Linked DNA regions of Mus musculus. The protein of the gene in region 3 binds, or shares a complex with, the protein of the main gene of each other region. Links are inferred from orthologs where the notes say so. Each region holds a gene or a part of one and is shown on either strand. Other genes may lie near its edges.

Region 1 (4,525 bases), on a different chromosome or scaffold from region 3:
CTTAATCATCATCTGTCTTAACCCTAGCCCCACTTTAGTCCTTAGTTCTAACGGCTGTGAGTGCTCACAGCTTAACAATGTAGCACTCAGTCCTTAGTTCTAACAGCTGTGAGTGCTCACAGCTTAACAATGCAGCACTCAGTCCTTAGTTCTAACAGCTGTGAGTGCTCACAGCTTAACAATGCAGCACTCAGTCCTTAGTTCTAACAGCTGTGAGTGCTCACAGCTTAACAATGCAGCACTCAGTCCTTAGTTCTAACAGCTGTGAGTGCTCACAGCTTAACAATGTAGCACTCAGTCCTTAGTTCTAACAGCTGTGAGTGCTCACAGCTTAACAATGCAGCACTCAGTCCTTAGTTCTAACAGCTGTGAGTGCTCACAGCTTAACAATGCAGCACTCAGTCCTTAGTTCTAACAGCTGTGAGTGCTCACAGCTTAACAATGCAGCACTCAGTCCTTAGTTCTAACAGCTGTGAGTGCTCACAGCTTAACAATGCAGCACTCAGTCCTTAGTTCTAACAGCTGTGAGTGCTCACAGCTTAACAATGCAGCACTCAGTCCTTAGTTCTAACAGCTGTGAGTGCTCACAGCTTAACAATGCAGCACTCAGTCCTTAGTTCTAACAGCTGTGAGTGCTCACAGCTTAACAATGCAGCACTCAGTCCTTAGTTCTAACAGCTGTGAGTGCTCACAGCTTAACAATGTAGCACTCAGTCCTTAGTTCTAACAGCTGTGAGTGCTCACAGCTTAACAATGTAGCACTCAGTCCTTAGTTCTAACAGCTGTGAGTGCTCACAGTTTAACAATGTAGCACTCAGTCCTTAGTTCTAACAGCTGTGAGTGCTCACAGCTTAACAATGCAGCACTCAGTCCTTAGTTCTAACAGCTGTGAGTGCTCACAGCTTAACAATGCAGCACTCAGTCCTTAGTTCTAACAGCTGTGAGTGCTCACAGCTTAACAATGCAGCACTCAGTCCTTAGTTCTAACAGCTGTGAGTGCTCATAGCTAAACAATGTAGCACTCAGCTTTATGGCCTCCTCCCTCAGCTCAGGTAAGCAGTCAGAAGGTGTCAGGGAGTTGCCCTAATTTCTCACACCACCTTCCCTGTTTTCCCTTTTAACTGCCCTGACTCCAAGCCTCCTCTTGACTTCAAGTGGCTTCTGCAGGGCTATCACGGTGGCTCAGTGGGTCAAGGCGCTTGCTTCACTTAAATCTGATTCCCAGACTCCACAGTGGAAGGAGATAAGTGACTCTCAAAGATGACTTCTGATCTGTACACGTGCACTGTGATGGTCTAGCCCTACCCATCCCCCACCCCCTAACAAGAGATTTAATTTTTTTATCTAATTCCAGCCATGATGAACCTTCCTAAAGCAAAAATTTGTATATGATAGCCTTCTTTAAGAGTTACTTCCTCCTGAATTTAGAAGCCTAAGTAATATTAGTGAAATGTAGTATTTTTTAAAAATTGATTAATTTTTTAATTAAAAATATATGTATGTATAAGTGTTTTATTCTGCATTTATGTCTATGCACTGTGCATGCTTGGTGTCTATGGAGGCCAGAATAGGGTGGGAGATCTTTTGGAGCTGCAGTCGTGGCAGTTCTGAGACACTGTGTGGGAATCAGGCATGATTGCTCTGGAACAACAGTAAGCACCCTTTCCACTGAGCTCTCTCCAGTCCCTAGGAATTCTTGCAGATATCACTGTAATCCTCCTTAATCTTTTATCTCTTCATTTTTACTCTATCTACAAGACAAACTAAATTACTCATGTCACCCGTTTCCTTGCTTCTGGACTCCATATTGTTCTTTTTACGGAATGCCTGTCATAAGTAGAGGTCAGCTTTCAGCCAGAAATACGGTCTTCATGATGACATAATAGAGTGACATTCGCCAAAGTAAAGTATTCATCAAAGAGCCTGGCATTACTCAAGTCTTGGGTCTGCTAGCTACTTGCTAAGTGATCCAGAGTTCATAATCTGTCAACAAGGACTAAGACTGGCTCCCTCACACAGCTATTAAAAAAAATACTTTCTTAAGAATGTGTCTTGTTTCCTGTAGTGATGTGATATATATATATATATATATATATATATATACACACACATATATTATATATAAGTTTTCCATCATGATTACAGAGTGCCTTTAATATAAACATATTTGTTCATCATGCTACTGCTACCTTTACATATGTAGCCTTGTTACTTTAAAAAAATGGATCATGAATGCAAATCAGAAATGAGTTCCACGCACACCATCTGTCTGACAAGGGTATAATTTGAAAGAAAGTAAAAAGGTATGTAAGCACGCTGACTGGAAAACTGGCATACCAGATAAAAATCCCTTGTCTTGAGGAGCTGATAGGGATCTGGAGGGTCCAGGAGAACCAGTGTTTCTAGAGAGCAGAGAGGATCCACACGATTCCTAAAGGAAACAGAGGACCAACAGGTTGAGGGGAGCTGTATACATAAAGTTTTGTAGAAAAGGCATTGTCTTTAAAATTACATGGCTATAGTTTCTAGATTCTTGGTTATTAATAAAGGAAACCTAGAACTACTATAAATTATAAGGAAGTAAGGTATAAAACCATCACAAACAAATGTGATTTCTTTTTCACCCTTTTCTCTACTAGGGGTCGCACCTAGGGCCCCAGACATGATAGGTGAGTGCTTTACCACTGAGCTATCGCCTCAATCTCTAAATTTAATGTCTTTATCAACTCAAATGGAAGGGATGGGGCAATAGCTATGTACTGGAAATAACTATACACCCATTATGATTTAGAGGACGTTTGTGGCTAAAATGATGAACAACAAACATGTGGTTATTTATTGATTTAGAGTAGATGCTGGTTATCAGGCTCTTTCAACCTGAAGGCATAGAAAAATGCTTGGAGAAACTATGGAGATCGTCACACTTAGCTCTGTCACTGAATTGCTTACTGCTTTCCAAATATTCATTGAAACTCTCTGGCTTTAATGTTTCATCAAAAATTAGCTTATTATTCTCATAGAGGCAGGGGGAGGGGAGATGGTATAGGGGGTTTCCTAAGGGAAGACCTGGGAAGGGGAAAACATTTGAAATGTAAATAAAGAAAATATCCAATAAAAAATTAGCTTGTTACAAGGATCAAATTAGATACTTTATATATAAGTGATTTTGAAACTACATATTGTGGGTCAGTGTGGTGTTTCAGTGGGTAGCCAAGTGGATAACCTGAATGTGATCCTTGAGAACCACATAGTAAAGGAGAGAATGGATTCCTGCAAGTTATCCTTTAACACACATGCATACATACATACACATGTACACATGCTGGGTAAACAAATGTAAAAAAAACCTATGTGGTGTGCTTTAATGATCTTTTGAATGTACTGTTACTTTTATGAACCTGTAAAGTAGATATATAATCTTAAAATGATTCATAAAAATGACCAATTAAAGATATAACTCTTAGAGAGCAACAGAAACTTATTATTTACTGTAAGAGGTGGAAGGGTGCTATAAAACAGTGATGAAATGATCACCTATGATTTACCTACCCACCACCCTAGAGCATCATCCAAAGAGGGTGGAGTGAGATTTCAGGTTAGAGATTGTCATGACTACTTAGCTAATTATAAATGCTTCCTGGACTTTAGTTTTCCAGCGCTATAAAAGAGGTCTGACTAAAAGATTTTTTTTAACATTGTTCTCACATCCAAGCTTAGTATAACAGAAGTATACTTATACCTCCTGTGGGGGATGATTTGCAGGTATGTTTAGCGATAAATCCATTTTCTTATCACATAAGTGAATAGTACTTGAGGAACTCTGTATCTGGAATGAACATACACATGTTTTGTGTTTACAGAAAAATCAATGGAAACAAAATTTACATCATTTGTGAATATATAACTTAATTAGGTAGAGACAGTACAGAACAAGAAATGCTTAGAGAATAGATTTTGCATCTTGCCCCATATTGTTTGATTTAGTAACTATTATCTCAAGAGAGTTGCAGCTTCATCTTTAATGCTTACAAACAGGACTATTTAAAGATTGAAATAATAAAGCATTTGGTTCAAGCTGGGTATTCAATTTTGCTGTATGCTCTATTTATCCATAACTGTTATTATGCAAGGACTATACTTCTATGACTATTTTCATTGTACTGAAAAGAAACCAAGGTTGGACCAATGTAAAGGTGGTAGTGTGTTACCATGGTACAGTGTGATGTGCATGTGTGATGGTCAAGCATAGAGCCCAAGATATGTAAATAACTGGCCCCTGTGTGTGTGTGTGTTGTATAGTGTGTGTGTGTGTGTGTGTGTGTATACACACACACACACACACACACACACACACACACACATATATATATATATATATATTGGTCACATTACCACTCCATTTCCTTATGTCCCTCATACTTCCTTTGAAACTCTACTTCTCATCTTGTCTTCTGTCCTACTTTCATGTCTTAAAAATTAAAAAAACTGTATCTATATAATTTCTATTATCTATCTATCTATCTAC
Region 2 (4,525 bases), on a different chromosome or scaffold from region 3:
GCAAAACAAATACACATGGGAAGGACCCTGGATTCGCATTATGGGCACACATGCACATCCATGTTTACGGTTGTATGGGTCACAGTAGCCAGGGGCTAGAACGTGCCATCAATCGAAAGTAGATACAGGAAGAGTGTCCATACACACAATGGAGCTTTGTGGAGTCATGAAGAAAACGGCAATCATGACATTGCCAGGGAAACACACAATGGAGCTTTGTGGAGCCATGAAGAAAACTGCAATCATGACATTGCCAGGGAAAGGGACAGAACCGGGAAATTGTATGTTAAGGGAAACTAGCTAGTTCAGACACAAAGACCCAAGTTTCCTCTTGTGTGTGGATGCTAGTTTTAGAAGTCTGCAAGCCTGTATGTGTGTACTCGTGTAAGTGTGTGCACGTTGGTTACAGAACTTGAGAGGGGAGCAGAGACATAAATGGGGGTGGGGGTGGGACCCATCTGATACAAAAGGAGTGAAGGCAGCTGAGAGGGGCAGGGGACCGAGCAGAAGAGTGGGGGTCATGAGAACAAGCACAATGGCGTACAGATGTGAAACCTATCACCCTGCATGTAAACTAGAAAGTTAACAGGAAAGAGTATCAGACGGCTGTCAGTACAGGGATTAGGAGAGGAACACAGCTGACTGGCCTGACCAGGTTGTTTATATGCCTGTGACAGGGACCAACCTACCAGCTGATACCATAAACAGCCATTTCAGGCATACCTCCTGTGTGCTGGCACTCATACAGGCACTTTATGTGACTTATATTAATATTTAACTCTGTGTGTGTGTGTGTGTGTGTGTGTGTGTGTGTGTGTGTGTGTGTTTTCAGGTACCTGCAGAAGCCAGAAGAGGGCATCTGATCTTCTGGAGCTGGCGTTATGGGTGGCTGTGAGCCATCTAATATGGGTGCTGAGGAGCGAACTCGGGCCTCTGCACAAGCAGTGTGCACTCTTAATCAGTGAGCCATCTCTTGGGCCCCGAGAAGTCAATTAAAAGGAAGAAAGGCACATAAAATCTTCCTCTTTCAGACCTGTAGTTAAAGAAAGTTGTCCCCTGCTATGTGTAGGTCCCGTCTAACGAGCAGGTAGGATTCTACTTTCAGGCACGTGCCCCAGGTGTGAGAGTACCCCAGTGGCATCCTTTAAGGCACATCCAACTCACGGTTGTGGGCAGCCTGTGCCACAGGACAGCTATGGACTCAGGCTCAATACAAAGTGGGAAACTTACCTAATTCTTTGTAACTGACTTTGTAACTCTACCTGGTGCATGCGCATGAACTCGGCAGATGTCAATGAATTGTCACTATGTTCAAAGGTTGGACAGGCCCGGTATACAGTAAACACATCTCTCCGGGAGGTGGGCATAGCTCTTGGAGTCTCGTCTGGTCCCTAATTTACTCTCCAGCCTCTCTCTTACCCTGTCCAAAGTCCATCCACACAATTACAATGTAGTCTGTCTATGGCCAACATTCTATAGCCTAGGCTCTGTTCCTCTAGGTGCCTGGGGTGGGACAGACAGGCACAGCTCACACTCACCAAGCACAGCTCACACTCACCTTTTCTAAGCAGATCTTGCATCTTTGCACAAGAGCAGTCATTGTGGACGGTTACTTCAAAACCCAGGTTTTGGAAGCACTTGAAGAGGGCCCCTGCATCTTTGTCCGTCCCATTCCGGACGTCCATACCTGTGGGGGTAAGGCAAGGAGTGGGGTGAACAGGCTCTAGTCAGATCAGGTGCCGTGTGGGCTCCAGCAACACTCCCTGAAGCAGAAACAACACTTCTCAGCTCAACCACACACGTGAGACCAGAGGCAAACTCCAAAGGACCCAGCCTCCACTCAAGGTGAGCTTCTTCATGGTCTTGGGATAGCCAGGTCTGGCTGTCAATGTCACACGGTCTAGAACCACCCAAGGGAAAAAAAAAAAAAAGGCCATTTTATCCCAGCAACAGGAAAGCAACTAAGGCAGGCTCCTACAGTACATAGCGGGACCTCAGACTGAAAATTCTCTCATGGAGAGCCGCTGGCACTGCCGCCCTCTGACGAATGTCTGGTAAAGTGCGGAGGACGTGGGAGGGTCAGGAGGGCTTGGCCCGGCCCCTCACCCACCTGTCGCTTTGTCGAAGTTCTTGTTGTTTATGATGATGCATTTACCCATCTTCTGGAAATCCATGCGGTACAGATAAGTGGGCACTCGGTCCCGGCCGGTCCTGACGGGGCCCGCAGAGGCATTTCTCTTCTTCTTCCTTGGGTTACAGAAAGTCAGTTAGAGGCTGTGGAAGCAGTCTGGGCAGCCGTGTTGAAGACCCAAGGTGGACAGATGGTTCTGTTTCACTGTCATGTTTAAATGGAACAAGGCTCCAGGGTCAATTTCAGTAGACGTCAAGAAATGCAAATCACAGTCACAATTATGCTGGTGCAGTGTGCGTCCCAGAGTGGCCACACTGAGAGAAATGGAGTCTGCCAGGCCCTTGTAGGGATGGTGGGGGTCCACTGGGTAAGGCCGGCAGGACACACACTAAGCTTACACAAACACAAACCTTGGGTCAGGCAAAGGTTTACTAAAAGACAGGGTTACACTGTTCACCTTGTCCCAGACAGGAAATAGCCTGCAGTTCTGTTTATGTAAGTAGCTGAACCGAGGAATATTCACGTAACAGGTAAAACAGGCCGAGAATGAGCCGAGACAGCACGCAGCACATGAGTGAACATCACAGACGGAACACAGCAAAGAGCCGATAAACAAAAGACTTCACGCACACTTAAGCACCTCACAGTAGAAGCCAGAGGAAAGCCAACCCCATTTCTTTTTCCTTTATTAAAAAAATGTGGTGTGTGTATGTAATGTGGTGCACACAATGTGTGCGTGCACGTGTATAAGTGTGCTCACCCGCGTGTACCCACGGACACCATCAACATCAGAAGTCTTCTGTATTAATTTTCATCTTTTAAAAAAGACAGGCTCTCTCTGTGAACACGGAGCTCACTGCTTAAGCTAGCCAGGCCTGCCAGTGAGCCGCCCTGATTCACCCTCTCAACTGCCAACCAGTGCCTGGGTTGCAGGCGCTTGCTGCAATGTCTCACTTTTATGTGGGTACTAGGACCAGAGCCCATGTCCTTAGGCTTGCAAGCAAGCTCTTTACCCACTCAGTCGCCATCTCTCCCGCCCCTGTATGTTTTGTATGGATTGGTGATGGTTACAGACACAGGTGGGTAAAAATTCCCAGGTATACATACATTCTGTATGGATGAATATTTCAATGGCATTAACATTAACTTTTCCCCATCCTCCAAACAACTATGGTACTATTAAGCAAAGGCACACAGGGGCTTCATAGGATCAGGGAGAACGCCCAAGGCCAAGGGCACAGTTCAGATCTGGCTGGGATGTGATTCTCTGGGAGTCAGCCTCCTGGTGTGTGCTTCTTCTACATAGCACCTTGTTTGAACAAACACTGCCTTTGATACTGAAATCCAGGGCAGGGCTCCCTCACCTCTCTCAACTTAAATTGGAGAAGCTGGTGCACAATCCCAGACCTTTCATGAACAGGTTCCTCACCCTGTAACTCTCGACCAAGGCAGCTCTAGACTGGCTTTAGCTGGTGCTCTCTGTGAGAGGCCTTGGTAAGAGCCGGGATGTGAAGAAAATGAGAGAAAACGAGAGGCAGGAGGGAAACCTAGTGCTTCAACTTCATTTTAGGGCATAATTCCTGCACCATACAGCTACCTAAAGGCTATCCTGGGACTGTGCGGGTGGCAGGATGGCCCACAGGCTGGAGAACACTTTACTCAGGAATTCCCTTTAAGAGGCACAATTCAACTTCCACCTTCTGTGGAGAGAATCCTATGGTGATGGGCTAGCCAGGTGGCTCAGCAGCGTGACCTGAGTTTCATCCCCGGACTCCACGTGGTGCAAGGAGAAAAGTGACTCTAGCAAGATGCCTTCTGATCTTCACACACATGCCACGGCATCTACGCACACGTGCCCCTCCCCCAACAGCTCCCCAATTACCCCCCCCCTTATATTTTAAATGTAATTTTAAAAGCCCTACAATTTCTAGGATGACAGCCACGTCTCAGACATGCTGTGACTCTTAGGCCATTACGGTCCCCAGGAATGTGCAAAACAAAACCAGTCAGTATCTTTTATAAGAAAAAGGGGCTGGAGAAAACGTTACATGCGAAATCGAAGGCCTCTGCTTCTGTAAGAACAGAACCTGGATCGTTACCTCATCATTTAATAAAACAGTTATTAATTCATTCAGTTAAAAAAAAAGGAACAAGAGGGGGGAATGAAGACACACATATGTAAACATAACAACACAGGTCACAGAAAGTACCTAAAAACTGAGTTTCAAGTGGTGTACAGCTCTAATCCCTGGCAAGTATCTCAGAAGGGAGGCAGTGGTAATTTCCCTCCCCAAACCTGTCCTTATATTGAACTCCTCAAAAAAATTAAAATTACATGTACGTGTGTGTGTGTGTGTGTGTGTGTGTATGTATGTGCACATGCCACCATGGTAT
Region 3 (4,525 bases):
CCATCTGTAATGAGATCTGACACCATCTTCTGGTGTGTCTGAAGACAACTACAGTGTACTTATGTATAATAATTGACCAGAGCGAGCGGGGCCCACCTGAGTGAGCGGGGTTGACCAGAGCGAGCAGAGGTCTTAAAAATTCAGTTCCCAGCAACCACAAGAAGGCTCACAACCATCTGCACAGCTACAGTGTACTCACATAAATAAATCTTAAAAAAAAAGAAAAGAATCAGCCTTCAGGCTGGGTGTGGGGCTCACGCCTTTAACCCCAGCATTTGTGGGGTAGAAACAAGTGGATCACTTGAGTTTGAGATCCAGCCTGGTCTACATAGCAAATTCCAGGACAGCCAGGGCTATACAGAGCTGTCTCCAACCCCCACCCCACCCAGAGAAAGAAAAAAGGATAAAAGAAAAACTGTCTAGAAGTAGCTTATCTGCTGTAATTTTGGTTGTTCATTGAAATAAGAGAACCATAATACTAAGTTCAAAGAGTAAAAGTGTTTATTCTATGGGGATATTATAAAGGAAATGGATGGGCTACAAGGTGAATTTTCCTATAAAAACAAACAATGCATACCTTTCTGCAATGAAGTTTGACTTGACTCATCCTCCGTATTATCTTTCTGAGCACTCACAAGATCTGCAATCAGGACCTCAAGTGATAGATAGCTGCTCCCGGATGTTTGGATTTTTTCTTCCATTGTTTTCTTAATGTCCTTGAAGCTAAATCCCATTCGTATAGCTTCTTGCACCATAGGATTCTGGAAGATGGTATCATCTGAAATCAAAGTTGGGTGGAGAAAGAACATAGTAGAAGTATTTTCATTAACATAACTAAACAGTAAAATAGTTTAGGGATTTGAGACTATCATATTGATGATAAGTTCAACAGTAGAGTGTTTGCCTATTATATGTGTTGCTGTGCCTTTGATTTCCAAAGCTGAAAAGAAAAGTGCTCGTGCACACCTTTAATCCCAGCACTCAGGAGGCAGGGACAGGCAGATCTTTGAGTTCTAGGCCAGCCTAGTCTACAGAGAAAGTTCCAAGACATCCAGGAAACCCTATCTCGAGAAACCACAAAAAGAAGTATGCTAGAGAAAAATGATTTAACTTGGTTATTTATACCTGCTACCAAGTCCATTCCAAATAATATAACGTAGCTCTGCATTTCAAGCATATTTACAAATATTTGTAGTATCCTAGATGATGTTACAACATTAGGGAATAGGGACTCACCAGATACTCTAAATTAAAACATACTGCTTCAATTGAAAAAGGACATCTTAAAAGAAAAGAATAGACAAGAAAACAAAACAAAACAAAAAACTGAAAACCCACAAATGGAAACTCCAAAAGAACTAGTGTCTGCTCGGCAGTGGTGGTGCATGTCTTTAATCCTAGCACTTGTGAGTCAGAGGCAAGCGGATTTCTAAGTTCGAGGCCAGCCTGGTCTATAGAGTTGAGTTCCATGACAGCCAGGTCTATACAGAAAATACCCTTCTCAAAAAAAAAACAAAAAAAAAAACAAACACCAGTGCACAGGTGTTGTGGTGGACACCTTTAATTTTAACACTCTGGAGACAGAGACAGAGGCAGGAAGGTATCTGGGGGTTTGAGGCCAGCCTGCTCTTCAAAGCGAGTTCCAGGACAGTTGAAATATAGAGAAAAACTCCGTTCCACACCACCACCACCACCACCAAACCCCCATACATAATCACACTGAAAATTACATTTAGGGCTGGAGAGATGGCTTAGCTGTTAAGAGCACTGACTGCTCTTTCTAAGGTTCTGATAAATCCCAGCAACCACATGGTGGCTCACAACCATCCATAATGAGATCTGACGCCCTCTTCTGGTGTGTCTGAAGACAGCTATAGTGTACTTACATATAATAATAAATAAATCTTAAAAAAACCTAAATCTACAATATGCTATGGAATTTAGAAGACCCTGTTATAGTGCTTAGTTCTATTAACAATTTATAATAGTGCATGCATTTAATTGGGAGGCAATAGCAGGCATATCTCTGTGAGGTTGAGGCTAGCGTGTTGTATAAAACAACTTCCATGACAGCCAGGGGTACACAGAGAAATCCTGTCTCTAAAAACAAAATGAAACAAAACGAAATTATACCATGGCCATGGGTAGATCACATCACCTTTGTTTCTTCAGAGGAATGTAGGACTAACTGCAGTGGATGCAGCTCAGAGTACTTACTATTCACGGCTCAGTCACCAGCACCAAACAACAACAAACACCATCACAGTATCGGCTTTAGCTGCATGTGGGGGCACACACCCCAATCCCAGCACTTAGAAACTGAGGCAGAAAGAGACAGGTCCAGGCCAGTCTGGCCTACACAGTAGACAGACTACTGGGATAGCTCAGAGGTTAAGAACATTGGCTCTTCCAGAGGACCTGAGTTCAATTCCTGGCACTCACATGGAGGCTCACAACTACTTTTAACTTCAGCCCCATGGGATCTAACACCCTCTCCTGGCTTCTGGGGCAACCAGGCATGCATATGGCACACATATATGAAGGCTGACCACCCATACAGATTAAATAAATAAGTAAATAAAAATGTAAAAATCTAAACTTCTAATCTCTTTGTTGTTTTAATACATTTTCCTCCCTCCCTTCCTTTCTTAAAACCATGCCATGCAATCCAGACTGACCACAAGTTCAGAATTCTCCTGCTTTAACATTGTGAGTGCTAGGATTAGATTTCCACCACAGCACCTGGCTTTCTATTAATGTTCTCACTACAAAACTATCTGGAATAAAATTATAAGCACTTCATTAAATTCTTAAATTTATAGCAGCCTCATTAAACATACTATAATAAATTGGCCACAAAACTAAACAGATTTATTTTTAATAGGCATATTTACCGATTTTTTTAGTTAGCGATGGTGTTTTTTCAGCAGTTCTTCCCTAAAATAGAAATATGAATGGTAAGAATTCACTTTAGCAGAAAGCAATTATCTCAATTTGAAAAGTTAATAAACTTAAAACAAATTGGCTTTATTCTAATTTAAAAACCCTGACTATTCATAAGAGCATAACCTAACGGAATGGAAGGAAGGTAAGACTATCTATCTACTCATCACCCCTTTATAAACAAGAAGCTGAGGGCCAAAGAGATCCAACGATCCCCTGGAGAACAAACCAATACAAATGCAGCTAAAAGCTAAGGGTAGAACCGTCATGTCCACTCTAGACTCCCACTGCAGTCCAAAGTTCTTCTCAGTATACTAATGCTCTGACGGCCACTGTTCTGTGTCAATTCAGACACAGTTGTTCATCTTGATTGAACCCAGGGGCTTGTTTATGCTAGCCAGAAAAGGTAAAACCCACGTATATCTCTGTCCTTATTTTTGCAATCTGAAGTATTATCTGCTAAAAGGTTACTAAAGACACACACACACACACACACACACACACACACACACCATAGGAAGACTAACAGTCAATGAACTTGGACCATTGGAGTCTCCTAGAGACTGAATCACCAGCCAAAGAGCAAGCATGGGCTGGACCTACACATGCCCCCTGCACATATATAGTAGATGTACAGCTTGGTCTATGTGGGTCCCCCAACAACTGAAGTGGGGGGGGCTGTTCCTAAACCTATTGCCTGCCTGTGGATCCTGTTCCTCCAACTGAGCCTCCTTGTCTGGCCTCAGCAGGAGAGGATGTACCTAATGCTGCAGTGACTTGATATGGCAGGGTGGGATGGGGAGAGAATGAGGGAAGAAGTTGTGTAAGGGAGAAACTGGGAAATGGGGAGTGGATATTGGGATGTAAAGTGAATAAATAAATTAATGAAAACAAAAGAAAAACAAATAATATAGAATTTGAAAATATATTGCACAATAAGCTACTCACCAAAGATTCCTCAAGTGAATGGGTTAAATGAATATTATTTATATATTCTTGCCCCTTCTCATCCAATAGGTATTTGCACCTAAAAGATTAAAGAAAATTAAATTAAACTCTACTAGCTGATAAATTAGTGAAGTACTAGTAAAGGCAGTCTCCAGCATTCAATTCCATTAACTATCTTGGGGCCAGAGAGAAGGCACTTTCTGACAAGTTCAATCTCAGGAGCTCACAGAGGAGAACAAACCCCTCCAGGCTGTACAGACCGCCAACTGTGCATTATGCGATGTACATCCCCCACCCATGCAATGGACAAACAAGTAAAACCAACCTTTTCATTCTTGTCTTTTTTGTATGTTACTGGGGATTAAACTAAGAGCCATGAGCACACTAAGCAGGCACTCCATCACTTAACTATAACATCAGTTCCCATTAGAGGCCATTCTGAAGCTGGCCTCAAATTTGCTATGTAGCCAAACATGACCTTGGACTTCTAAACCTCCTGCCTACATATCCCAAATGCTAGGATTATAAGCAGGAATAACCATAAATCACCCCAGTCTTTTAAAAACAGCTTTTTATTTGTGATAGGGTCTTTCTAAGAAGTCCAAGGCTGGCCTTGAATGTGTAGCCTAGACAG

Evidence for each region. The genes of interacting proteins can lie anywhere in the genome.
Region 1: the proteins of Xiap (region 3) and Ripk2 are in contact, whole or in part, in a cryo-EM structure (PDB 8AZA), measured with the Homo sapiens proteins. The link is inferred for Mus musculus from reciprocal best matches to the Homo sapiens genes XIAP and RIPK2. Residues at the interface, in NP_001158.2 of Homo sapiens: Lys208, Asn209, Trp210, Glu211, Pro212, Cys213; in NP_003812.1 of Homo sapiens: His136, Asn137, Met138, Thr139, Pro141, Ile208, Asp278, Glu279, Arg280, Ser282, Lys285.
Region 2: the proteins of Xiap (region 3) and Casp7 are in contact, whole or in part, in a crystal structure (PDB 1I51), measured with the Homo sapiens proteins. The link is inferred for Mus musculus from reciprocal best matches to the Homo sapiens genes XIAP and CASP7. Residues at the interface, in NP_001158.2 of Homo sapiens: His136, Ala137, Leu140, Leu141, Gly144, Gln145, Val146, Val147, Asp148, Ile149, Ser150, Asp151; in NP_001218.1 of Homo sapiens: Tyr230, Trp232, Arg233, Ser234, Pro235, Gly236, Arg237, Trp240, Glu274, Ser275, Gln276, Asp279, His281, Phe282.

Annotation. Positions count from the first base shown.
Region 1 is NC_000070.6:16,125,284-16,129,808, forward strand, and holds part of Ripk2 (receptor-interacting serine/threonine-protein kinase 2), read right to left. Parts: intron 3,827-4,525; coding exon 3,740-3,826; intron 2,432-3,739; coding exon 2,338-2,431; intron 1-2,337.
Region 2 is NC_000085.6:56,430,964-56,435,488, reverse strand, and holds part of Casp7 (caspase-7 precursor), read right to left. Parts: intron 2,248-4,525; coding exon 2,111-2,247; intron 1,688-2,110; coding exon 1,559-1,687; intron 1-1,558. UniProt on the Homo sapiens protein: Thiol protease involved in different programmed cell death processes, such as apoptosis, pyroptosis or granzyme-mediated programmed cell death, by proteolytically cleaving target proteins.
Region 3 is NC_000086.7:42,098,249-42,102,773, reverse strand, and holds part of Xiap (E3 ubiquitin-protein ligase XIAP), read right to left. Parts: intron 3,971-4,525; coding exon 3,892-3,970; intron 2,938-3,891; coding exon 2,895-2,937; intron 779-2,894; coding exon 578-778; intron 1-577.